3 linked regions of the Tribolium castaneum genome follow. The protein of the gene in region 1 interacts with the protein of each later gene in a pairwise test. Links are inferred from orthologs where the notes say so. Each region holds a gene or a part of one and is shown on either strand. Other genes may lie near its edges. The genes, in order: Sf3a1, noi and Sf3a2.

Evidence for each region.
Region 2: the proteins of Sf3a1 (region 1) and noi interact in a two-hybrid assay, tested with the Caenorhabditis elegans proteins (2 studies listed by BioGRID). The link is inferred for Tribolium castaneum from reciprocal best matches to the Caenorhabditis elegans genes prp-21 and prp-9.
Region 3: the proteins of Sf3a1 (region 1) and Sf3a2 interact in a two-hybrid assay, tested with the Caenorhabditis elegans proteins (2 studies listed by BioGRID). The link is inferred for Tribolium castaneum from reciprocal best matches to the Caenorhabditis elegans genes prp-21 and repo-1.

Annotation. Positions count from the first base shown.
Region 1 is NC_087397.1:12,582,731-12,586,826, forward strand, and holds the start of Sf3a1 (splicing factor 3A subunit 1), read right to left. Parts: upstream 2,957-4,096; 5' UTR 2,882-2,956; coding exon 2,788-2,881; intron 2,715-2,787; coding exon 2,550-2,714; intron 1-2,549. Other genes in the region: peroxidase, read left to right, coding at 3,998-4,037.
Region 2 is NC_087397.1:5,206,189-5,210,318, forward strand, and holds noi (splicing factor 3A subunit 3), read right to left. Parts: upstream 2,586-4,130; 5' UTR 2,443-2,585; coding exon 2,347-2,442; intron 2,295-2,346; coding exon 2,088-2,294; intron 2,039-2,087; coding exon 1,966-2,038; intron 1,909-1,965; coding exon 1,595-1,908; intron 1,546-1,594; coding exon 1,409-1,545; intron 1,361-1,408; coding exon 1,021-1,360; intron 970-1,020; coding exon 768-969; intron 719-767; coding exon 585-718; 3' UTR 532-584; downstream 1-531. Other genes in the region: neuropathy target esterase sws, read right to left, coding at 40-144; NF-kappa-B essential modulator, read left to right, coding at 2,861-4,130.
Region 3 is NC_087402.1:2,914,644-2,917,627, forward strand, and holds Sf3a2 (splicing factor 3A subunit 2), read right to left. Parts: upstream 1,592-2,984; 5' UTR 1,475-1,591; coding exon 659-1,474; 3' UTR 571-658; downstream 1-570. Other genes in the region: mRpL19 (large ribosomal subunit protein bL19m), read right to left, coding at 45-105; RpL27A (large ribosomal subunit protein uL15), read left to right, coding at 1,810-1,812, 1,997-2,060, 2,218-2,315, 2,369-2,521, 2,684-2,812.

The sequences.
Region 1 (4,096 bases):
AGTTCAGGTTAAGTTGCGGTCCGGTTTTCGGTTCTGTATTAGTCAAACAATATCATTAGATAAAATCAAAAATTTTAATTGAAATGAAATTTACACATAGCGGAATTATATTAAAAAAAATACTTTAAAAAAGAATTTAACAAATTAGACATCAAATTATTCCAAGTGTTAAGTATTAAATTTCTGAATCTGAAACATCAAAATCTGTTTTTGAATCAGACTCACTTAGAGAAATAATAAATGGAGAAATATTTGCAATGTGTTTTGTCCAATCTGAAGCAATTAATTATTCCCAGTGTTTACAGAAATTTTGCCACATTTCGGGTGTACATTTTATGAGTGATTCCGACCATAGATTTGCAACTTTATTTCTGTCCAAAGGTTGCTCATTTGTATGTTTATTATAATAGTTCTTAGAAAACCCCTATGCCAATGAATTGCGTTATACTAGCGATGATATGGGGGTAATCAAAGAACTTCATGTCCATGGTCATTTAAAACTTTATCTATTACGTACTGTTTTTAATTATTTGCTTTTAAAGGTTTTATTAAATCCTACAACTGATTTTTAGTGAAGTATTAAATCAAATTCTATATGATGATTAATCAACCATACCTACATTTTACCCTTGGTAGAAGACGACGTGGGCATTTTTTCCAATTGCATCGAGTGACACGGAGCACTATCCATTATCACAACAGATTTAAATGGTAGTTTTGCTAAAGCAGGAATTAATTGGTTAATCACCCATGTTTGAAATATTTCTCCATTCATAGTTTTGTGATAGCCTCTGTCATTATTCGCCACATCCATTAAAAGGTCACATCCTTCCAAAAAAGCAAACCGACATCCCGCATATAATATAGTGAACCTTTTGTCTTCACTTTTAATTTTTGAAGGATTGCTTTTTAGGTCTTCTTCGTGAACCCACCGTCGAACATTGCTGCCATTTTGATAAATCCACCTTTCATCCAAATATACAAAAATAAAATTTTTAGTGTTTTAGAGTTTTGGTACTGAAGAAATTTTCGTAAAAAAACAATTTTTGATATCAGAACATGTTTTTGTTCACAAAGATTTTTCTTCTATTAACTAAACGAAATCTGTAACTCATATTTTTTAAAATTCTGTATGAAGTTGTTCGCCCTCCTTCAAACTCCAAATTTTCTTTTGATTCTGTTAGTAATGTGTCTAAAGTAAAATATTGATTTTTTTAATTATATTTCGAAGTAGGTATATTTAATTTCAGTTCATAGTAGAATTGCATTTTTCAACAGCGGATGTGAGTATTTTGGAGTAAAAATTAAGCCCAAATTGAGTTTCTGTATAAGAAAAGAATTCACACTTTGAGCTAAGAAAACCCACCAGAAACTCTCATGTTAAAAAATGCATATGCGCTGTTAAAAAATTCTACTATGAACTGAAATGGGATATACTACTATGGAGAAGTATCTGCTAATAACAGGAAGTGCCTACTTTTAACTATAGTCTTTTGTTCCCGAAAGTAAAGTATTTACTTAAAAAAGTAGCATTTACTTCACCCATGTCTTTACTCCACTGGACTGTAGTATTAGCATCTACTTCATTTTTATTTATACCACCCAATGATTTGTTTGGCATTCTGAAGTCCAGAGCAATGTCATACGTGTAGTTTTCACAAAATTTCAAAAAAAAAGATCCTTAATGAAAACCACATTAAACTTGAATAATTGTTGGTATTTTCATGGAGTTTAGAGAAAAGATAAGACAGCTTAACTGTTTATTTACAAAGTTAAAGTTACGTCTCGGAAACGCCTTCAGACCTTGGCTACATAATACTACGAAAATACCAACAATGATAAAAAAGGAGAATAATTTTTTTTTATAATTGAACTTGAATGTTTTTCGCAGAAAAATGATGAATGAAACGATTTGTCTTGAACGGTAAACTAAAAGGTTTTTTTTGCATAAAAACAGTAATTCCACTTTACATTCACATTATAAACAAGTGTTCAAAATTAGTTAATGTTTGAAAAACTTTATTAATCCGGCGTTACTCAGGTGAGTTTTTAGGACACCAATACTAAGGTGGGGTGTGACACACACATCAAAGAATGTGTTTGTTATTCTGAAACTATACCAAAGCATTTTACACTCGATTTTACATAAAGTCCAATATTTCAAAAAAGTCAAATCTTTACCTAGTTTTATAGAGCAAAATTTTTGGTAAAAAGTAGTAACGTAAGTAAGTGGGGTGTAACAAACCCCAGAGCCATAAAATCGGCTACAACACACATATTATAACAGCCAGGTGAAAATTATATTATATTATATGAAAATCATATATTACATCATATTCGAAATGTTTTTGCAATCTACTGAAAGGTGCATACATATAACATTCCTATCTAAAAAACCAAAGCATTTTTTTACTCTGGGGTCTGTCACACCCCAACTGAGTAACGCCGGGTTAAAGAACAAATATTCTTCAGTGTGACCAACCTAATAAAAGAACCATAGGTCTACTTTAACCTGATCAACTCGATTAATATATTTTTATGTTCCTTACCTTTCCCCTCTCGAAAATCGTTGACTTTGTGCTGATAATACGCATGGTAGGGGTCACCAGGATTCAGGAAATTAAATTTCGGATTCCCTAATTCGTTCTGTCTGATCCTGGCCTCAAATTCTGGCCCGTTTCTGGCCACAAAACTGGCTGTTTTATCGACGATATCTTAGCAAATTGTCAGGAAAAATACAATCTAACCTGAATTTTCCGACAAATCTGAAATTTTCACAAAGGATACTTCTCACCTCTGGTGGTGGATAAATAATACCCACCACTGGATTTATCGGTCCGGGATCGTCCGGATTTGGATTATTTGCTTCCAAAACCGGCATTTTCACTATTTTTTCTTACAATAAGCTAAATAAACACGCTAACAAACGCTTGCTCAACGTAAAATGAAGAGAGAGATGGCAATAAAAAATAAAATTGATGAATACTCCAAACCACTAGAGGCGCCACAAGCGGTCTTTACAGAATTCTATACCAACATTTTACGCGTGTAAACTGTTTTTATATTTTTTACTTTTGTAGTTATTTCTTATATTTTTTACAAATATTATGTATTATTATTATGTATTATAATATTATGTATTACGTTAATATCTATATTACAACTAACGCTTGTGGTTGCGGATCAAAAAGAACGATTAATGAAACCTAATTTATAGATTTGAAACAGCTTATATCTCATTTCAACTCATAGTAGAATTTTGCATTTGCATTTTTTGGAGTGAAGTAGAGCTCAAATTGAAAGTTTCTGGGTTCTTGGCTCAAAATTTGTTACTGAGATTTAGCTTAACATATATTTTTTTCTTATAAAGAAACTTTCAATATGTGCTTTATTTCACTCCAAAAAATCCAAATGCGCTGTTGCAGAATTCTGCGATAAACTGAAATAAAATATATTAGCTGTTTCAAAACTAAAAAAACGCTAACGTCGCATTTTTTTTTGAATTAGGTGTTATAAATTATTCATGTAGTTCAAAAAAATAATAGATAATGTAATTTATACTTGGGAAAGCTAATCAATAATAATTATTTTACATTTTTATTAATCTTATTTAAAAAAATTATTTAGTAAAATGCGACGTTGGTGTTTTTATAGTTTTAAAACAGCTAATAATTTATATTCAACATAGTATTTAACATTTTAGCGAACCTTGAAAAAACGTTGTACCTATAACTTCTGATAGTTTTCAGCTTCAACAGATCAATATTTAGTTCAATAAATTAAAAAACATAATAAAAGTAAAAAAATATAAAAATTTATGTTTAAACATTTGAGCTAAATTACTCTACACCGTTAGAGGACGCTTCAAAACAGACAGATAATTGACAGAAGAATTTGACAGTACGTTTGTGGTTTATGCTGCCCTCTTTTACCAACGCTTCCAAGTTGGGAGTTGTGCGTTGGTAAGGTTGATAACCTGTGGTTTGTTATTGTTTATATGCGGGAAAATTTCATTTTTAATCGAATTTTTCCAATGGGTGAGTTAATTATTTGATTTTTGATTATTTTGTGTTGGATTAGTGTGAGTTTGTGTTAT
Region 2 (4,130 bases), about 7.4 Mb from region 1:
TGATTACGCAAAAACTGATTCAAATCGCAGTTTTCTTACCTGGTACGTCTCTTGAGTCGAAAAACTCGAGAAGACCTCACCGAACCAACTGGACTTGAGGGTTTCTTCATTGTTTAAGTTGTATACCGCATTTAATACGTCCATTTTAGCTCGCACATTATAGAAATTAGACTCTGATGATTAAAGAATTAGTGATTAAAGGTTGAATAAAATCACAAACCTATTTGGATGAATTTACCCACTTATGTGTCAAAGTCAAATCTGGTCAAATCACAGGCACAAACAAATGCGCATCGTTCGGTAAGTGAGAAAAATTGCAGCCGACTGTGCATTCAACCGAACTCTAAAAACACGCTAAATGAGTACTTAAATTATTATTTATTTACGCAGAAACTACTGAATAATTTCTTAAGTAACAGGAATAATTTTCACTCTCTCTATCCCTATTTCGGGCTCAGTTTTGTACGTTCGTGCTAACGAACAGTCGAAAATTCCCCTTCCCAAGGCGACCATCAAAATAAAATGTCAATATTTAAAGTTTTGTTTATGTTTTTTATTGATACTTATTGTTAATACAGCACAAATTACAATAAACCTTGTCTTTTAAGATCCTCGTAAGTCTTTCTGTTAACGACGTTCCCTTGCGAATCCTCGTACTCTTCCTCTGTTTCAGGTTGCCAACGCTCTGCCTGTTTTTGCACTTTGAGCTTCTCCCACACTGGAAAACAACCGTAACAAGGTAAGAAACCAAAATTGCAACTTCTTACGTGCTAGGGCATCCTCAATTTGCGTCACGTTGGCAAAATGCGCGGTATTGGGGATTCCCAGACAGCGCATTCCATGAGCGTGTCTCCACTCCGCAAAGTGTCTTTGAAACGCCTTTGGTCCTTTATAGACGTAATTGCCGCAAATTTCGCAGTTGTAACTGATATTCAAACCGTGGAGTTTGTACAACCAGTATGGAATCGGCTGCAATTACGAAACAATCAATTTTACCAACTTACTTTCAAAATCACATACTTTTCCATCCCAGCCCAAAGGTAAGTTTTTGGGGTTGTAGGGAACGTCATCGTCGGCTTCATCGGGACTTTCCTCCTCACTCTCCTCATTTTCACTATCGTCTCTTTCACCATCCGTCCGCGCTTGTTTTCTCTGGACATTTTCCTTAGTTGCCGCGCGTTGAGGGGCGACCAGCTCGGCCAACCTATAAACTTGTGCCTCAAGACAGGCCAGTTCTCTTTGTCTCATTTGCTCCTTTTCCTTACTGGCTTTGCCAGATTTGTTTTTAGTCATTAGAGACGGATCTAGTGAGCCTTTGCCCTTGGTTGAAAATAAACGCTGGGCACGCTCTTCCAACGTCCTAAATAAATAATTAGAATTTTATTTATGGCAAGACGTAAATAATTACCCGCCACATTTTAAACCAAGAGCCATTAGGGCCGACTTCAATCTGTCCAAACCTAAAGAAGCCAATTCCTCCCAACTTGAAAATGCGGACAAGTCTAAATGGGCCCCAACGTTCGCCAAGGCCGACCCTGTCTCTTTCTGAAAGTAAATGAAGTAGTAAAAATAAATTAGTTTTTTACCAAATTACGGGCCATCCTGGAACAGTCCCATTCTCCCACTGGACCATAACATTATCAACTTCGTTTTGCAAATCAGCATCAATGTCCATCAAAGGTTTGACTCTTTGCACGAACCAAGTTAAATACTCAATCAAGCAAAGCAAATATTTGCGATATTCTCCAGTTTTGCGTTCTTTAGGAATGTCATAGAGCTGGTCAAAAGTGCCCAAATATGTGATATAATCAACCTTTTCAATGCCTTTCAAATTGATATATTTCTCGTAACATTCGTGCAAATCCAAATATTTCCCATAACCTTCCTCATCCGTAAATTCAACCAAATCTTGAAAAAACAAACGTAATTAAACAACTGTGATCACACGAGCCTAGCAAGACTCACTTGCCATTTCTTCAGTGGGATTTTCACGCGCTTTGGCTAGTTCATCGAACTCAACAGACATTGGAATACTTATCTGAGAAAAAAATCATTACACAAACACACAAAATATTCAAAAACTATACCTCATTAGGATGCTTCCTGTAAAAATCTTTAATCTGCTTGAGACGATTGTAAAACTCCTGAAACTCATTTGGACCTGTAAGGGCAGCGACTTCCGCTTTTCTTTGCCCGTCCTTGTCCTCATACAGCTCAATCAAACGATCAGTGGAGGTCATATATTTGTCTAGCAGAAATTTAAGGCGATAGTCCGAGTTTATTGCCTCGCGGTACTAAAACAAAGACTCTGTCAGGGGGCAAAGCGCCACGAGAATCACAACTTACCGTTGTTTTTTTATGTAAAATTTCTTTAACCATTGCGTCAATGAGACGCTCTTTTTCCTCGTGATAACGCCGTTGTTGCTCCAAAATCGTCTCCATTGCGACTTTTTTTAGAAAATTGCGAAAATTATTTATTTACCCGACGCCATCAAATGTCGACTGTCAAAAAATGACAAAATGTCAGCGTAGAATAAGAGAGAGGTGCACCATTATTGTCACACTAGAAAATCACTAAGCGGTTTTTCTTTGACTTTACAATTTTTTTACGACTACAGTTGTGTCCCAAATGAAATTTTACGTAAATAGTTATGCCACAATAACATTTTTAGAGCTTTAATATTCTTAAAAAATTAAATTAAGGCTAAGGCGACTTTTTATTGGTCCGGTTGGTAGCAGTGTCTTTAATCGTGTGTCAGTAGTTTGGTATTTTCATATTCTATGTTCTAATTCATTCTATTTTGCGCCGCAAATGTAGTGTTGTACTGCAGCTGTTGTTAAAACTTGAAAGTCATCAAAAATGAGTCGTGACGAGTCCTTCGTTGCTGTGAAAAACACTGCAGAGTCCATGGTTCCGTCAATCGGGTCCGATGATGAAGATTCATTTGTCGTTTTGGAAACTTCAAATTCCATCAGCGAAAGTTTGTCTTGCAGCCCTCCAAGGGACGAAATCTTGCCCCCAATAAGGACAAATAAGGTTCACGAAATGGAAAATCTAATCAGGATGAAAATATCACAAATTACCGTTGATCCGTTGCCAGAATTACCAGCAGCTGTTGATGCGATTGTGCCCTCAGTTGCAAGTATTGCAATATCGCCGGATTCGTCGTATGAAGAGATTCAAAAACAAGTGGAAGAACTGATTAAGGAAAACGAAAAGTTGAAGAATATCATCGCACAAAATAACATGAGTATGAAGGCGCAGTATACGAGGTTTTTGGCCTACAGGGATGAGGTCACCAATGTGATGAAGTCCTACAAAGATAAGTTCAACGATGCCAAAATGTGCATAGATAAGTATAAAGAAGAAAATGCAAAGTTGGTTAGTGACGTTGAAGTTTACATCAATCTTAAAAAGCTCCATGAAGAAGAAATCTTGAATTTGAAACTGAAGCTTAAGGAATTGGAAAATTTGACCAACGGCCCCAACTTTTCAGTTGTTGACACAAGGAAATTAGCAATGATGAAGGATTTAGAACTGAAACAGGAAGAAATTGAAAGACTGACGCAAAAATTGGTGAATGTACCGAACCTTGAACAGGAATTACAAACCAAGCAGCAACAAATTGACGACTTTAAACTGGATATTCTCGCCGCAAAAAATCGCGAAAGCGACCTAATTGACGAAATCCAGTCAATGAAGACAACAACCACCGACCTCCAATCAAAATTGGATAATTTAACAAAAGAAAACGCAAAACTCGTCCAATCATCGACGGCAGCCCAAACCTACGACCAGCTCCTCAAACTGAAAGAAACGGAAATCTTGAAACTGAAGGAAGAACAACAACGCACCGCTTTCGTCGAATCCACCCTCAGTGATGAGATAAAAACCCTAAAATCGCAACTTAAGGAGCTCCAAGACAAGTACAACCCGCGTTTGGCCGAAGATTATGCCCAATCCCGGGCCCAGTTGAGCGTTGCCCAAAGGACAATCACAGCATTGGAACAGGAAAGGGAACAGAAGATTAAAGAAATCGAAGATTTGCGTAAACTACTTCAAGAAAATACAAGTGCCAACGACGAAATGTTCGCATTGAAGGAACAAATCGAAGTGTATAAGAACGATT
Region 3 (2,984 bases), on another chromosome or scaffold:
ATTAAGTAACACGGCGAACTAACATAGCAAAGGGGCAGTCATACCCTTAAAGTGCCGAATTAAGGCAAAACAAGGCCGGTGTGCACCCGTTTTCAACATTTTCATTGACAAAAAAAAATAGATATGGTAGAGGTTAAGTATGGCTTGACAGAGGGTCTTGAACAAGACTGGACGTATGGATGATCCTAATAATAATATGTCGTAATACAAAAATAATAAGGCTCAAGTTTACTTTGTATGATACACCATCATACCACAGATGATACTAGTAATAATTAAAAAGGTCAGAATATTTAATTATACGTAAATCTTGCCATAGCCTTGAAAATTAACTATTCGGGACACCGGACATATTAAAACGATCAAACTCAGAATTTTTCTTCCACAGTTGAACCAGTTGAACCACGATTTTAAGAGAATGTAGCCTCAGATCGTTATTACATGGGCTTAAATATTTTACAAAAACACGCAAAAAATCGTTTTTTTCGTTGATTAAATAATATTAGCAGTTGATCTTTCCCTCTTCTCAGTCACTTCTCCGAGAAAGAAAGACAATAAATAAATACTCCATTCGTTTGGGACCAGTTTAATGTTTATTAACTTTTTTGAAATAATGAAATACAGTGTTATTTAGTTCAGCTTAAAAAAATCAATTTTGTTAATGAGGTGGCGGTGGCACCGGCAGAACCGCCCCCATCAGCGGCGGCGGCGGCGGAATGGCGTTAAACATCGGGGGTCTCGGTGGTGGCGGCACCGGGATCATCGGTGGCGGCGGCACTCCACCCATCATACCCCCAGGCCTTGCAATAATCGTGGTCGGTTTCTTCGCCTCATTCTTGAACGCAAACTGGAGGAAAAACTGCTTTGTATCGATATTCCAATGCGTCCAGAACTTATTATCCGTCTTCTCAACCTCCCGACTCGGCACTTTGAACGCAATTGTCTCGTAGGGTTCCGCTGCGAAAAGCAAATACTGCCATTTGCGGTCCGGGGGCTCAATTTTCTGTTCATAAGCCGACATGAATCGATGCCGAGGAATCACATTATCGGTGATTTCCGGATAATCAATTTGGAAGAGTAGACTTTGTTGGCCTGTCTCAGGGTCTCTTTGTTTCGTTACTCGGTAGCCGGGTCTCCCAATTTTGACGAATCTTTTCGGCTCAACTCTGGGTTTTTCGGGTTGGAGGAGTGTGGGGGCGTCCTTTGCTTCCTTGGCGGCTCGGCGAGCCAAGTTGGCTTGGTGCTTCTTGCCTTGGGTGTGGGCGAGGTAGCTGCCCTCGTTGTTGTGTAGTGTGAGACATAGCTTGCACTCGTAGGAGCCCAAATGGTTTTTCATAAAATAGGGGTCCTTTTGGAGGTCGATGGTTTCTAAAGCTAGCTGGCGGAGACGCTCGCGGCGGTCGCGGTTGGTTTCCGACCAGGAGGCTACGCCGCCACCGCCGGTCTTGCCCCCCGGGCGATTTTGGAAATCCATTTTGCACTTTTATTTATGCAATTAAAAACGATTGAGGTTACATGTAACTGACAAGAGCGCAACCATTTATTAGTAACCTTCTTAACACCAACATGAGAGTATAAAAATGTCACCAAGTTTAATTTTGCATTTTGAAAATTTACATTAGACGTTATTTTTTCATTAAAGTGATAAGTGCAAATTAGATTAGAATAGGGCGAGATGCACTTTACAATAAATAAGTCCAAGTACGAGACCATTTTATTAATAAATAGGTGTTAGTGGCTATTGGCTCCATTGACAAATGTTGGCGATCCTGCTTCCGACCTTTCCGAAGTTGACAAGTTCTTTCCAACATGGTGGGTATTTCATTTGCTGCAAATTTTTTCATTTTTCTGACTTAATCTCAATCATCTTTTGTAATAATTACTTTTCGTTAAATTGAAAAGTTATTTTGAACAATTCCCTATTAACTAACATGCGTATTTATTTCGATTTGTTGCAATTACAAGTGTTTACAACTTCGTTGTGGTTATGTTCCAGTCGACCCATAAGAAGAAGACTAGGAAGTTGAGGGGCCACGTGAGCCACGGACACGGCCGCATTGGTAAATAAACCCTCCTCTTTTTAGCAGTCTTTGTTATTTTATGATGATACAAGAACGGGCGGTATGAATAAATTTTGATTAATGTTCTCGACTGATCTTCGTTTTGAAATAGTTATTTTAATTAGTTTTGGTCGGAAGTTAAAAAAGTATATTACAGGTAAGCACCGTAAGCATCCTGGAGGTCGCGGTAATGCCGGTGGTATGCACCACCACAGGATTAATTTTGACAAGTACCATCCAGGCTACTTTGGAAAGGTTAGTGGAAGTTGTTTTTTTTTGGGTAAAGTACTTAAATAATTTTATTTCAGTTGGGTATGAGGAATTACCATTTGAGGCGTAACAGCAAATGGTCTCCCTCAATCAATTTGGATAAGTTGTGGACTCTCGTTAGTGAGCAAACACGATTGAAATATAAAGACCACCCTGAGGGAAAAGCCCCAGTTATTGACATTGTCAAAGCTGTAAGTTTTTTTTAATAATTGTTTGCAGATATGCTTTAATGATGAAATGCTGAACGGGCGGTCTGATTAGAATGCTGATGGTTCACTTACTGACTGTTGGCTTGTGATCTAAAGATTTTTTTTGTATTTGTAGAAATTATTTGGTTCTTGTTTTTGTTTCAGGGTTATTACAAATTGTTAGGTAAAGGGCGCCTTCCTAAACAACCCGTCATCGTTAAAGCTAAATTCTTCTCCAAATCCGCTGAAGAAAAAATCAAAGCTGTTGGAGGAGCGTGCGTTTTATCGGCTTAATTTGTAAAAATAAACACATTTTATAAGTTTTTCTTGTTTTTATTCACATCCTTATTTTGACACTATCAGTGAAGATGTTTTTTGGAATCGAAGATCTTTTAATCGAAGTAGATGGTAATTTTTGCACTTTAAAAAACTCAGTCGGCCACTCTTACAATCGTCTGTTACCTTT